Neodiprion lecontei: one gene and its partner. The protein of the gene in region 1 purifies or fractionates together with the protein of each later gene. This does not show direct contact. Links are inferred from orthologs where the notes say so. Each region holds a gene or a part of one and is shown on either strand. Other genes may lie near its edges.

The links.
Region 2: the proteins of chromatin assembly factor 1 p55 subunit (region 1) and chromatin assembly factor 1 subunit A purify together in Drosophila melanogaster (affinity purification with western blotting; 3 studies listed by BioGRID, with this or other methods). This does not show direct contact. The link is inferred for Neodiprion lecontei from reciprocal best matches to the Drosophila melanogaster genes Caf1-55 and Caf1-180.

What each region holds. Positions count from the first base shown.
Region 1 is NC_060260.1:23,050,417-23,054,016, reverse strand, and holds the start of chromatin assembly factor 1 p55 subunit, read left to right. Parts: upstream 1-911; 5' UTR 912-1,031; coding exon 1,032-1,050; intron 1,051-3,600. UniProt on the Drosophila melanogaster protein: Core histone-binding subunit that may target chromatin assembly factors, chromatin remodeling factors and histone deacetylases to their histone substrates in a manner that is regulated by nucleosomal DNA.
Region 2 is NC_060263.1:21,171,375-21,177,767, forward strand, and holds the start of chromatin assembly factor 1 subunit A, read left to right. Parts: upstream 1-2,910; 5' UTR 2,911-3,499; intron 3,500-3,607; 5' UTR 3,608-3,617; coding exon 3,618-3,699; intron 3,700-3,920; coding exon 3,921-4,906; intron 4,907-5,006; coding exon 5,007-5,137; intron 5,138-5,292; coding exon 5,293-5,672; intron 5,673-6,382; coding exon 6,383-6,393. Other genes in the region: G-patch domain and KOW motifs-containing protein, read right to left, coding at 1-85, 285-595, 723-826, 2,171-2,555, 2,633-2,772.

The sequences.
Region 1 (3,600 bases):
CGTTTGAGAATCGTTTGAGAGGGTTTGAGAGTAAAGAAAAATCGTTTGAGAGTTAATAGTTTTTTCGGAAACCTGATCCTAATTTTGGGTGTGAAGTTGGCCCCCATATTTTCTATCTCCTCAAAAAATAGACTTAGACGTTTAATTTTTTTTTTAATCGTTTGAGAATCGTTTGAGAGGATTTGAGAGTAGAAAAAAACTGTTAGATAGTTAATATTTTAATTGATATACCTCCGTGAAGTTGGCCCCCCGGAGTTATTATCTTTAAATCTAATTAATGCACCAACTTCACACCCAAAATTAAAATCAATTTTCCGGAAAAACTATTAACTCTCAAACGATTTTTCTATACTCTCAAACCCTCTCAAACGATTCTCAAACGAATTGCATTAATTAGATTTAAAAATAACAACTTCGGGGGGCCAACTTCACGGAGGTCGGAATACACCCTCAGACAGCCCCCTGACACATGCTGCTAAAAGTGGTTCGCCAAATGTCCCTCGATTCTGCCGCCAAGTTCCACCACTAGTGGCGCCAGTAGTTACCTGACGAGCTTGCGCGCGGTCAGCGAGGGCAGCAAGCGTGTCGGAAGTCTACCTGGAGTCTACTAGCGCCACGTAGAGGAATTAAAAAACGGGGACAAGACGCGTACAATTTTTTAGTATACGAGCAGTGGTGAGTGTCAGGGGGCTGCCCTCATACATCTCGCATACGATATCTAGGGTCTTTAACTCGAGAATAGAGCCCCTATACGATAGTTTCTAGTGTATAGCATTCAAGAAATTTCGTGGAGTGTTGTTCAACGTCACAGCAGCCACCAGAAAACACTATGAAATTTGTCGTTTTATCTAACACTCTAGAGGTGCTTCTAATTTATAGTGAGTACATCATCTATGTCCTCAACGATGTATGGCTGAGGCCTTTGACGGTTCCCGGTTTCGGAGCATTCGCGTCTTTTTGGCGGGCGCAGTGTTTGGAGGTAGCCTAAAACTAGCTGGTTGTACAGAATATCTATTTCAAACCAAACACAAATGGGAGACAAAGACGGAGGTGAGCGTGCTGAGCGATACTTTAAGCCATAATCAAACATTATTTCTTCTATCTCTACGCACTTAAGCAATTTAAAGTTGTTATTGATACATCCCAAATCCCTTGTGAAAGACTTGTATTTTTACTAGCTTACGCGCTTCACATTCCGAATCGCATTCACAGCTCGCGTAATAAATTTATTCCTGTATTACATACACCGCGGATTTGCAAGATTATAATTTCGCAGCTCCTAGGCAATCGCGATTCTACGCATCTCTCAAATATTTCAGAACATACACAGCATCTACTTTTGCACAAAGTCGAGCGCAACGTTCGAGTCCCTCTTCGACTAGTTATTTGTAGAGGCCGGTAATTTTTTACTGCAATATAACAGTATAAGATAATATTTTTGAGCATACGTACATTTTTATGCCAACTTTGAGCGATTTGATAATAGCACTGAGTTCGAGCCATTATGAATTCTATTTGCTCATTTTTCATTGTTCGCATCTTCTGTTTGAATGGATGAGGTTATCAGCTGATTTGAAACATGAAGTAAACTACTGAATTATTTTAATGTAACCCAATGCCACAAGTACCCTATAGAAATTCATACATTACATCCACTTTAGACAAAGCAATTGCTTCATGTTTATAGATACTGAACAATCTTTAATCGAGTTTCCGAAGATGCAGCCTCACCCAACGAAACATGATCATAGTCATATGGTCTGGGAATGTTGTAATAGTGAGGAAACCTTTAAAAATTTCAAAGTCATTATATCGAAATGAAATTACACGTTTAAAACCCTTTGCTCGCTAACTGTGATAAATATACTCGTTACTAGTCCTTGGCGTCTAGTTGCTAGAGAGAACTGAGCATTAGAACCCCATAGAATTCTATTTGCCACATGAAAAGTTAGGAAAAGCTGGAAATATATATATTTTTTCGAATTGAGAGAATTACAAATTTGCATTCAAACCTGTAGTTTGTAGTTTATTATATTAAACATTGGAAACATTGGAAATGCTCATGCGGATTTGAAAATAGAAAGTAGGGAAAGGGCTGATCCAAAAAGTCTTACATACACTCATTTAAACTAAGATGAAATGGATGTATATTTCGTTTATAATATTCTTGAGAAGATCAATTAACATGAAAAATGTTTTATAACATAGACAAAATACATGTAAAGCAATGAAAAATAATTCCTTAACGTGGGAAAACATTATTTTATATTTTGCACATGTGCATTATTTTTCATTATACTTTCAATTTTTTCTGGTCCAGTAGTTTTGCATACATACCATGCTGAAACATTTCAGTTATACATTATATCATTTTTGTATATGTCTTTTTCACTTATGTGTTATTTATTCTGGTCCCTAGCACCATTTCTCTATATCAACGACAATTACATTGAATTGACAATCACCTAGATTTTCAAATAAACATCATCAGTATAATTGTTAAAGCTTTCCGTACTATGTATGCAACCAATTTGCAATGAATAATTACTGCATAAAGTTTATTACTTATCTCGCATCCTATATTTATTCAATGGTATTGGTTCAGTTTACTGTAAATAATATGATAAAACGCCAACTCCGAAGCCATTTAAAATCATAAATTCAAGTAAAACGCATTAAATAAGAAATCATGGATTTTCGTTTTAACATTATTCTCACTTATAGATCATAATTTTCATACTGTTTAAAAAACGTCTAAATAAAGTTTTATTGTGTTTATTCTCTTACTCAACATTATAATGTGATTTACAATAATGTCACTATGAGGCTAAAGAATTAGTTGGAAGAATTGTTCATAATATTTGATCAGGTTTGATTTATTGAAACCTGTTGATTTGATGTCGAAACTTGAAAAATTCAGATAAAGCATAGGAAATCTAGCAGTATTTTTTGATACAAGAATGTAAAGGTAGCAATACCGCACAGCGAGTGCAAAGGCATAGCACGAGCTCAACATCGCCACCTTTTGATCGTGTATCCCATGCTACTTTTTTATTACATCTGCAACGAAAATTCTGGTTTTATTTTTTTATGCACCGTCCACCCGCATTGAAGAAGTCTTTTAAACCTGGGCACGAGACAATTTTTTTTTTAATCTGCTAGCGGTACAAGAACACTTGCCTGCAACTCTATTGGCCGCTAGCGGTTTGAGAAAGTTTTCTGGCACTGGTGCCTAAAAGACTCCTTCAAGTACCTGTGGATGGTGCATAGAAGAGCGCTTTTGGTACAGGTATTACAAAAAAGAATTTTAAATGTTGCATTTACTAAGACTTTGTACAGTTGTCCAACACCGGACGCTACCCATGGTATGATGTGTAGTTATATTTATATCTTGCCAAAAAATATCAGAGTATTCTATTTCGTTATTTTGTAATCATTGCAAACAAGTTTTTCTATCCATGTTTAGTGATTATTAAAAGGTGTTAAATTCATACAGAATAGAAGTTTTTTTGGGTAGTTATTTGTTTTTGCAAATTTTCAGCAGTCATGTTCCGACAATGTTTAAAAAATGTAAATATTGCATAGATTAAACTAGAAAAC
Region 2 (6,393 bases), on another chromosome or scaffold:
TCCAATGATTCTACGATAGGCAAACGACTCTCAATGCCTGTGTTATCTGTATCTTTATCCTTGTACTCCTGATACTTGGCAGAGTCTGAAAATTAATTCAACGATATATTAAAGACTAAATCATCAAGTTTTTACTTGACATCGAAAAGTTTTTAAAAGGGGTTTTTAAAAAGGATAATTTCGGAACAACTTGCAATGAAAATCATACGCAATTTTGTAACTTATAAGACATTGTACGATAATCCAGTTTAAAAACCCCGTACAATTAGCCAAAATCTACTAACTTAGGACTTTGCCATTTTTCAGATACTCTTCTTTTGTCACTGCTTGAACCACAGATTCATTTACAGACACGACGTTTCCTCCTAGTGCCATTTTCACTATGAATCTACCCGCGTCGTCGTCGAGACCTTCAATCTGCCCATAGGAATCCTTTTGCTTTCCAGCAATCAGTTTGACAAAAGCTCCTTTTATAAGTTTCAGTTCTTCTTCTTCCTTTGTTCTTGGTTTACTGTTTTGTTTCTGCATTGTTACTTTATCTGCACCAAGTCCCATTCCTTTTGGCCTCAGGGCAGGTATAGATGCTTCGACTAATCTAAAAAAAAGATGCAATGTTTACTTTGTTATGTGAACTAATCATTTCGCATTCAATATGTTATTATATTAGTAACTGGGAAAAGTAGGTTTGACTCCAATGTAGTGTTATTTGTAAATATTCGTACTTCTCATTTTTACCAATTCCTTTACCAGGTTTCCACCCCATGCCACGTAGCATAGCCATTCCATAAGCGTCAATTGGAATGTTCTCATAGTCCTCCAAGGTTGACTGAAATAACAAATTAGCTCTATGAAGGATATTTAGTTCTATTTTTTGTATCCAGAAGTGACCAAAACCATGGATTGGTAATTTTTTTTTGGTAATTTTCAGTGGAACCTAAGGTCTCTGACTTGAAAGAACTCATTTTATCCGTACAGTAGAAGTTTGATAACTTTGCAATAGAATAGATCAAGTTCAACATCGAACCTAATAGCTTTTGTACGAAAATGTTCATGAAAAACTTGATCACGCAACTACAGGTATGAGTAATATTAAAAAATTTAACTCTAAAATGGTGACTGGAAAAAAAGGACAATTGTTATAAATTTAATTAAAACTTGTAGTCGACATATAATATTACAAATGATACATATTGCTGATAAGAATCTCGATGCAGAGTTGGCAAGGTGCGCTGTTAATAAGAAGTAATGTTTAGGAAAGTAAAACCTTTTTATCGTGAAGAATTTGTCATTTGTAGCACCAAGTCTTCTGTAAACCAGTTTTCATAAATGTGACCAGTCAAAAATGCACTGCCATGACGTTTATAACAACCCAGAAATGCGCTTTTTGAAATATTTCTGATTGACCTAGCCTCAACAAATTTTCCAACGACGTTTAACAGAAGTTTGAATGTCCATCTGCAAAGTCGTATATTGTCGACTGTTTACTGGTAAAGTACTCACAGTAGAGGGGATATGTTGTTTGCATGCATGGATATATGCATGGCAAGAAAGATAATTAGGCGGTGATTCAGGAAGTAGCTAGTTATCGAGCTCCTACTATAAATATTTGAAAAGATGTGGTCATAAGGTATTCGGGAAATTATCAAGAAGGAAATATCACCAGAAAAATTTAGACAGACTTTCAAATATTCCTATTCCATTACTTTTGCAGTGTACTGATTTGATCTCATTTTTCCAAATTCATTGCGTTTCATAAATATTAAAAGAATCGTCAACGGTCATTAGAATATTTCTGATTTGTTTGACAGAAAGTATAATTTTTTATACTCACTGAACCCAATAAATTAACACCGTCATTCGAAACTCCAGTAAAAATATTCGTACTTGTAATGTGTGATAAATGGTTGCTCGGCAACTGTAGGAGACCGTTATACAAGCATGTGCCATGAGCGTGAGGTACCGTTTTGTTGGCACAACCTGCTAGGCTAAGCCTCTTGTCGATTTCTGTGCACTCATGTGTGGATTCGAATTACTATAGTTCCGAGGCAGTCAGATTTACGGAAAACTCAGTATGATAAAATATAAGTTTTAAAAATGCCTCTTTGGGAGGTAGATAAATTTTACAAAGCATTTGGTGTAGAAGTGAATATTACTAAGTATAATAAATTACCTCTTGTTCACCAGCTAAGGAGGCGGCATCTTTAACAGGTAAGGAAAAAATACTTGGGTCTTTGCCGTTAGTTTCTGTGCTATGCAGATCTTGTAGGATTTCTTGCGCCGCTTGCTCTTCCAATGTGTTAGGCAGTTTGGATTCTTCAACTTTGACCTCCTGTTTTATCGTTGCAGATTCTACAGGTTTTATGTCAGCTTCGTCAGTGTCCATTGCGCCAATTGGCTCCTTTTTAACCACAATATCAACCACATCTCCATTTGAATTTGTTTTCACTTTGGGCTCAAAGATATCTGCGTCAATTTTATTAACTATTCTATCATGCCAAGTTTTTGATCCTCGCATAGGTATCACCAGCGGTTCATCTTCTTTTTTATCTTCCAAACTGCAAAAGCCAAATATTTAATTTAAGGTTATGTTTACAAATATTGGTATTCCTGTGCTGCTAAAGTGGCGGCTTACCCAATAACCTTTATCGCTTTCTCATCCAGACACTCAATATAATCAATCTTCTTTTTGTCGTTTTGCACTATATTTTTCAAAACTGGCTTTTTTATCGATTTTGAAAAGCCGAACGAAATTTTCCTCACCTCGTCGGCCATGATTGACACTTGACAAGCTGATCGTGGCTTTAGACTGGTCTACGAATCATATAAATTCGAATTGCAACCATAGGCAGTGAGCATGGACTGCTTCTCTAGACAACAAATGTGTCCCACCCAGCCCCCTGACACACGCTGCTAAAAGTGGTTCGCAAAATGTCCCTCGATTCTGCCGCCAATCTCGACCACTAGTGGCGCTAGTAGTTGTCTGGCGTACCAAAGTCAGCCTGTCAGTAATTTTATATGTATAATATATCTTCCGTCACCGCCATGATCAGGAAAGCGCTAATGAATCGAGAATCCGAATAACGCGAACGTGGTATTTTTTTCAGGCTCATAAAGCTCCATGCTCAAGCTCGTTTTGATTTGGCTTCAAAGCACTTCGAAGTGAAGTTTCGGAACACATTGCCGTACACAAAGTTCTCAAATCACAAGGCAGAAAACCTGTTGAATTCCCGCGCGATTTCTTATGTGGGAGGTAGTATCGTGTTATTTATCAAACGATTCAACAATTTGAAGTAAATATTTTCAAAGTTTAATCGGTATCTCACCTGCAACATTTCTTCAATGACATGAACATATTATCAATTTTTTTCATTCTCTATTGCTTATTCAACTTCATGTCAATTTAAGAGGTTATAGTATTGCGAGCAGTCAGTAATGATTTGCCTCGTTAGCATTTATACTTCTATAAGACCGGGGATCGTTTGACTAGCAACAATCAGAGGTGAAAAATTTACTTTAAAAATCTATTAATATTTTCGACCGGGCAACTAATTTTCTTGTCAGATTGTAAAAAATTCTTGACGTGCTCTGGATACGAATATCATTGCAGGTATTTTACAATGAAAGTTATGGAAGTCTCCGTTGAAGAAAAGGATTGCACTAACGAAATAGTTACACCTCCCAGAAAAAAAATGAAGCAAGGTAATTTTAAATACTTTCATTTAATTTTGCGATTCTATCTATTACAAGAGCCAAATTCACAATTTTAAAGTTTTGGACTCTGGTGAACAACATCTTCAAGTATTTGACATGAGCCAAAAATTTTTACAAATCATTGTATTCACAACGCAATTGATTACACAACCTAAGGTCTGTAATAAATTTCAGCAAGAGATTTGTTTAAATCCTTTGTTAATTTTCAGCTCAACTGCCATTTCAAATGGTCAGTTCATTGGGGTCGCCCAATACAATCGGAAACAAGAAGAGGAAGCTAGAATCACCATCACCGGTGGAAAGCAAAAGTCCTAGGACTGGGAAGATAGTTAAAAAACAAAATGCGTCCAAAAGGGCCAAGAGTAGTGAAGTTGAAATTATTGAAGTGGATGTTTCGGATGTGGAAAATGTTTGTGATCAAGACAATGTTAAGGCGTTAGTGGAATTTAGAGAAGAAGGTGCAGCCAAGCATGCTGAAAAAAATCCGATTGATAGTGAAAGTGATGTCAAGAAACGTAAGGATTACGGTTCGTTAAACAGGTTTTTAAAAAAAGCACAGAGCAAAGAATCAAAGGATGATCTCCAACTTTTAGCAATGAGCGATTATGAAAGCGGCAGCAGCAAAGATAGTGATGCTTCATTGAAAGTAAAATTAGACTTACAAACATCAAAGGAAGTTCTCGAGCAAAGCTCCAAGAAAATCGTAGAGCAAAGTTCGGAAGAAACTGCGGAACAAAGTTCAGAATCTAAAAATTCTACAACTCAGATCAAAGAGAATAGCGCCGTCTCGACAAACATTACAGAATCTCAGTATAATATCGAATCACTTCAAAATACTGAGCAGAACACCAGTACTGAGGAGAAGAAGCTCCTTCCTGAGGAGACGAAAAATTCAGACACTGATTCAACTTGTCATCGAAAGGATAGCATACATTCTGATAGCATTAATGCTAAGAATGACGAATCGGATTCTGATACTGGTGGTTCATCATCGGACGAAGATGTAGACGACGACCCAGATAAGTCTAGTAATGAGAATACAGAAAAGGATAAAACTTTAGAAGAAAATGACGGAAGCAAAACACCTAGAAGTGAAAAGTCGGGTGTATTCAAAAATAGAAAATTAACTCCAAAACAGATTGAAAGACGACTTCAGAGTGCTAAGAAACGCGAAGAGAAGCAGCAGTTGAAAATGGTATGTTTCTTTATATTTACTTCACCCAAAGTATCTTTTGTGACTTTTATGACAAGTAAGTAGTTATAACAGTATTATAGTTTTTAACTTGTTCACTCAGGAAAAAAAGAAAAAGCGAGAAGAGCAGCGTGAGAATCGTAGAAAACAGAAGGAGGAGAAGGAGAAACTTGAGAAAGAACAAAAGCGGAAAGAGAAAGAAATGAAGGAGTTGAAAAAGCAAATTGAAAATGAGTGAGTACTAAATACATGTATAATTTCTATCTAGAATGTCAGAACTGTAATAAAAATACCATATACCTACTCGTGTCACAAGACATTGTGGTAAAGATTATAACAATTTTTTTGTGCAAACTTTATATTAGTTTAATCAGTCTTAATTTTTGCAGGCAAAAACAGAAAGAGAAAGAGGCAAAGGAGGAGGAGCGTCGGAAGAAAGAGGAAGAGGCTGAGCGTAAAAAACAAAAGGCTGCATCTAATTTTGCAAACTTCTTTGTTCCGAAAAAGCAGGAAACAAAAGCTCTTGAAGAAGACGGTGTAGTTAAAGATCAAAACTTCATGCCATTTGAAGTCAAAGTAGATATGAAGGTAGCTCCGATAACCAGGAGGAATCTTAATAATGAAACAAAATTAACTTTCGATGGATTGTTCAACAAAGGAGTCTTGAAAAACGAATTATATCTCAATCAGCTCAAACGAAATCGCAATGATGTCGGTAGATCCGGAAGAACTTGGCCATGTGAGACCAAGGATGATGTTGTTATCATTGGTAATTAACTATTATGTATCGATAGGCTTAGGTGCATTTCAATACAAAGTACCCAATTTCAATTCTTCTCCATCGATTTTTTATTCTGAACTGTCAGTGGCAAGGAATACCTTGAGTTTTTAATTTCCCATTTCGTGTCTATCGAAATAATATTTTTCCCAGAATTTTTCCACATAGCTTCGCAAATCCACTTCCAATGGTCTCTAAAATAAGAATGAGCATTCATTTTGCAAAGTTTCAGCCAAATACTTCCTGTTGTACATTTCGGCATGGATTTATTCCAGTTGCTTGTTTTTTATTTTTTTTTTTTTTTTAATAAAATTCATTTGTGCGGTTATTTAGTACTTATTTTTGTCATTGGAAAAAAATGTTAAACGAGCATTGTCAAACCCGTGGCGTAAAAAAATGTCATACATTCGATTCATTCAATTAAACTCAATTAGAAGTGAAGTATAGAGAAACCAATTTGAAAGAAGTAGTGAAAACGTAAATAAAAGCTATAAAATAATTATCCAGGTAATCAGTAATCAAATTGAAAAAATTGTTTTCACAGTGGATGGTATATGGATTATTAAATTTCAAAGGACAATGTCTACGTCAGTTACTACAAAACTCATTTGATTTATAGTTCAGATATATAAGTAAAGATAATAAAGTAAGGGTTATCTATTTCGCACCATGCAAAGTAATCTTGATAATATGTTATACAGATGAAGAAGAT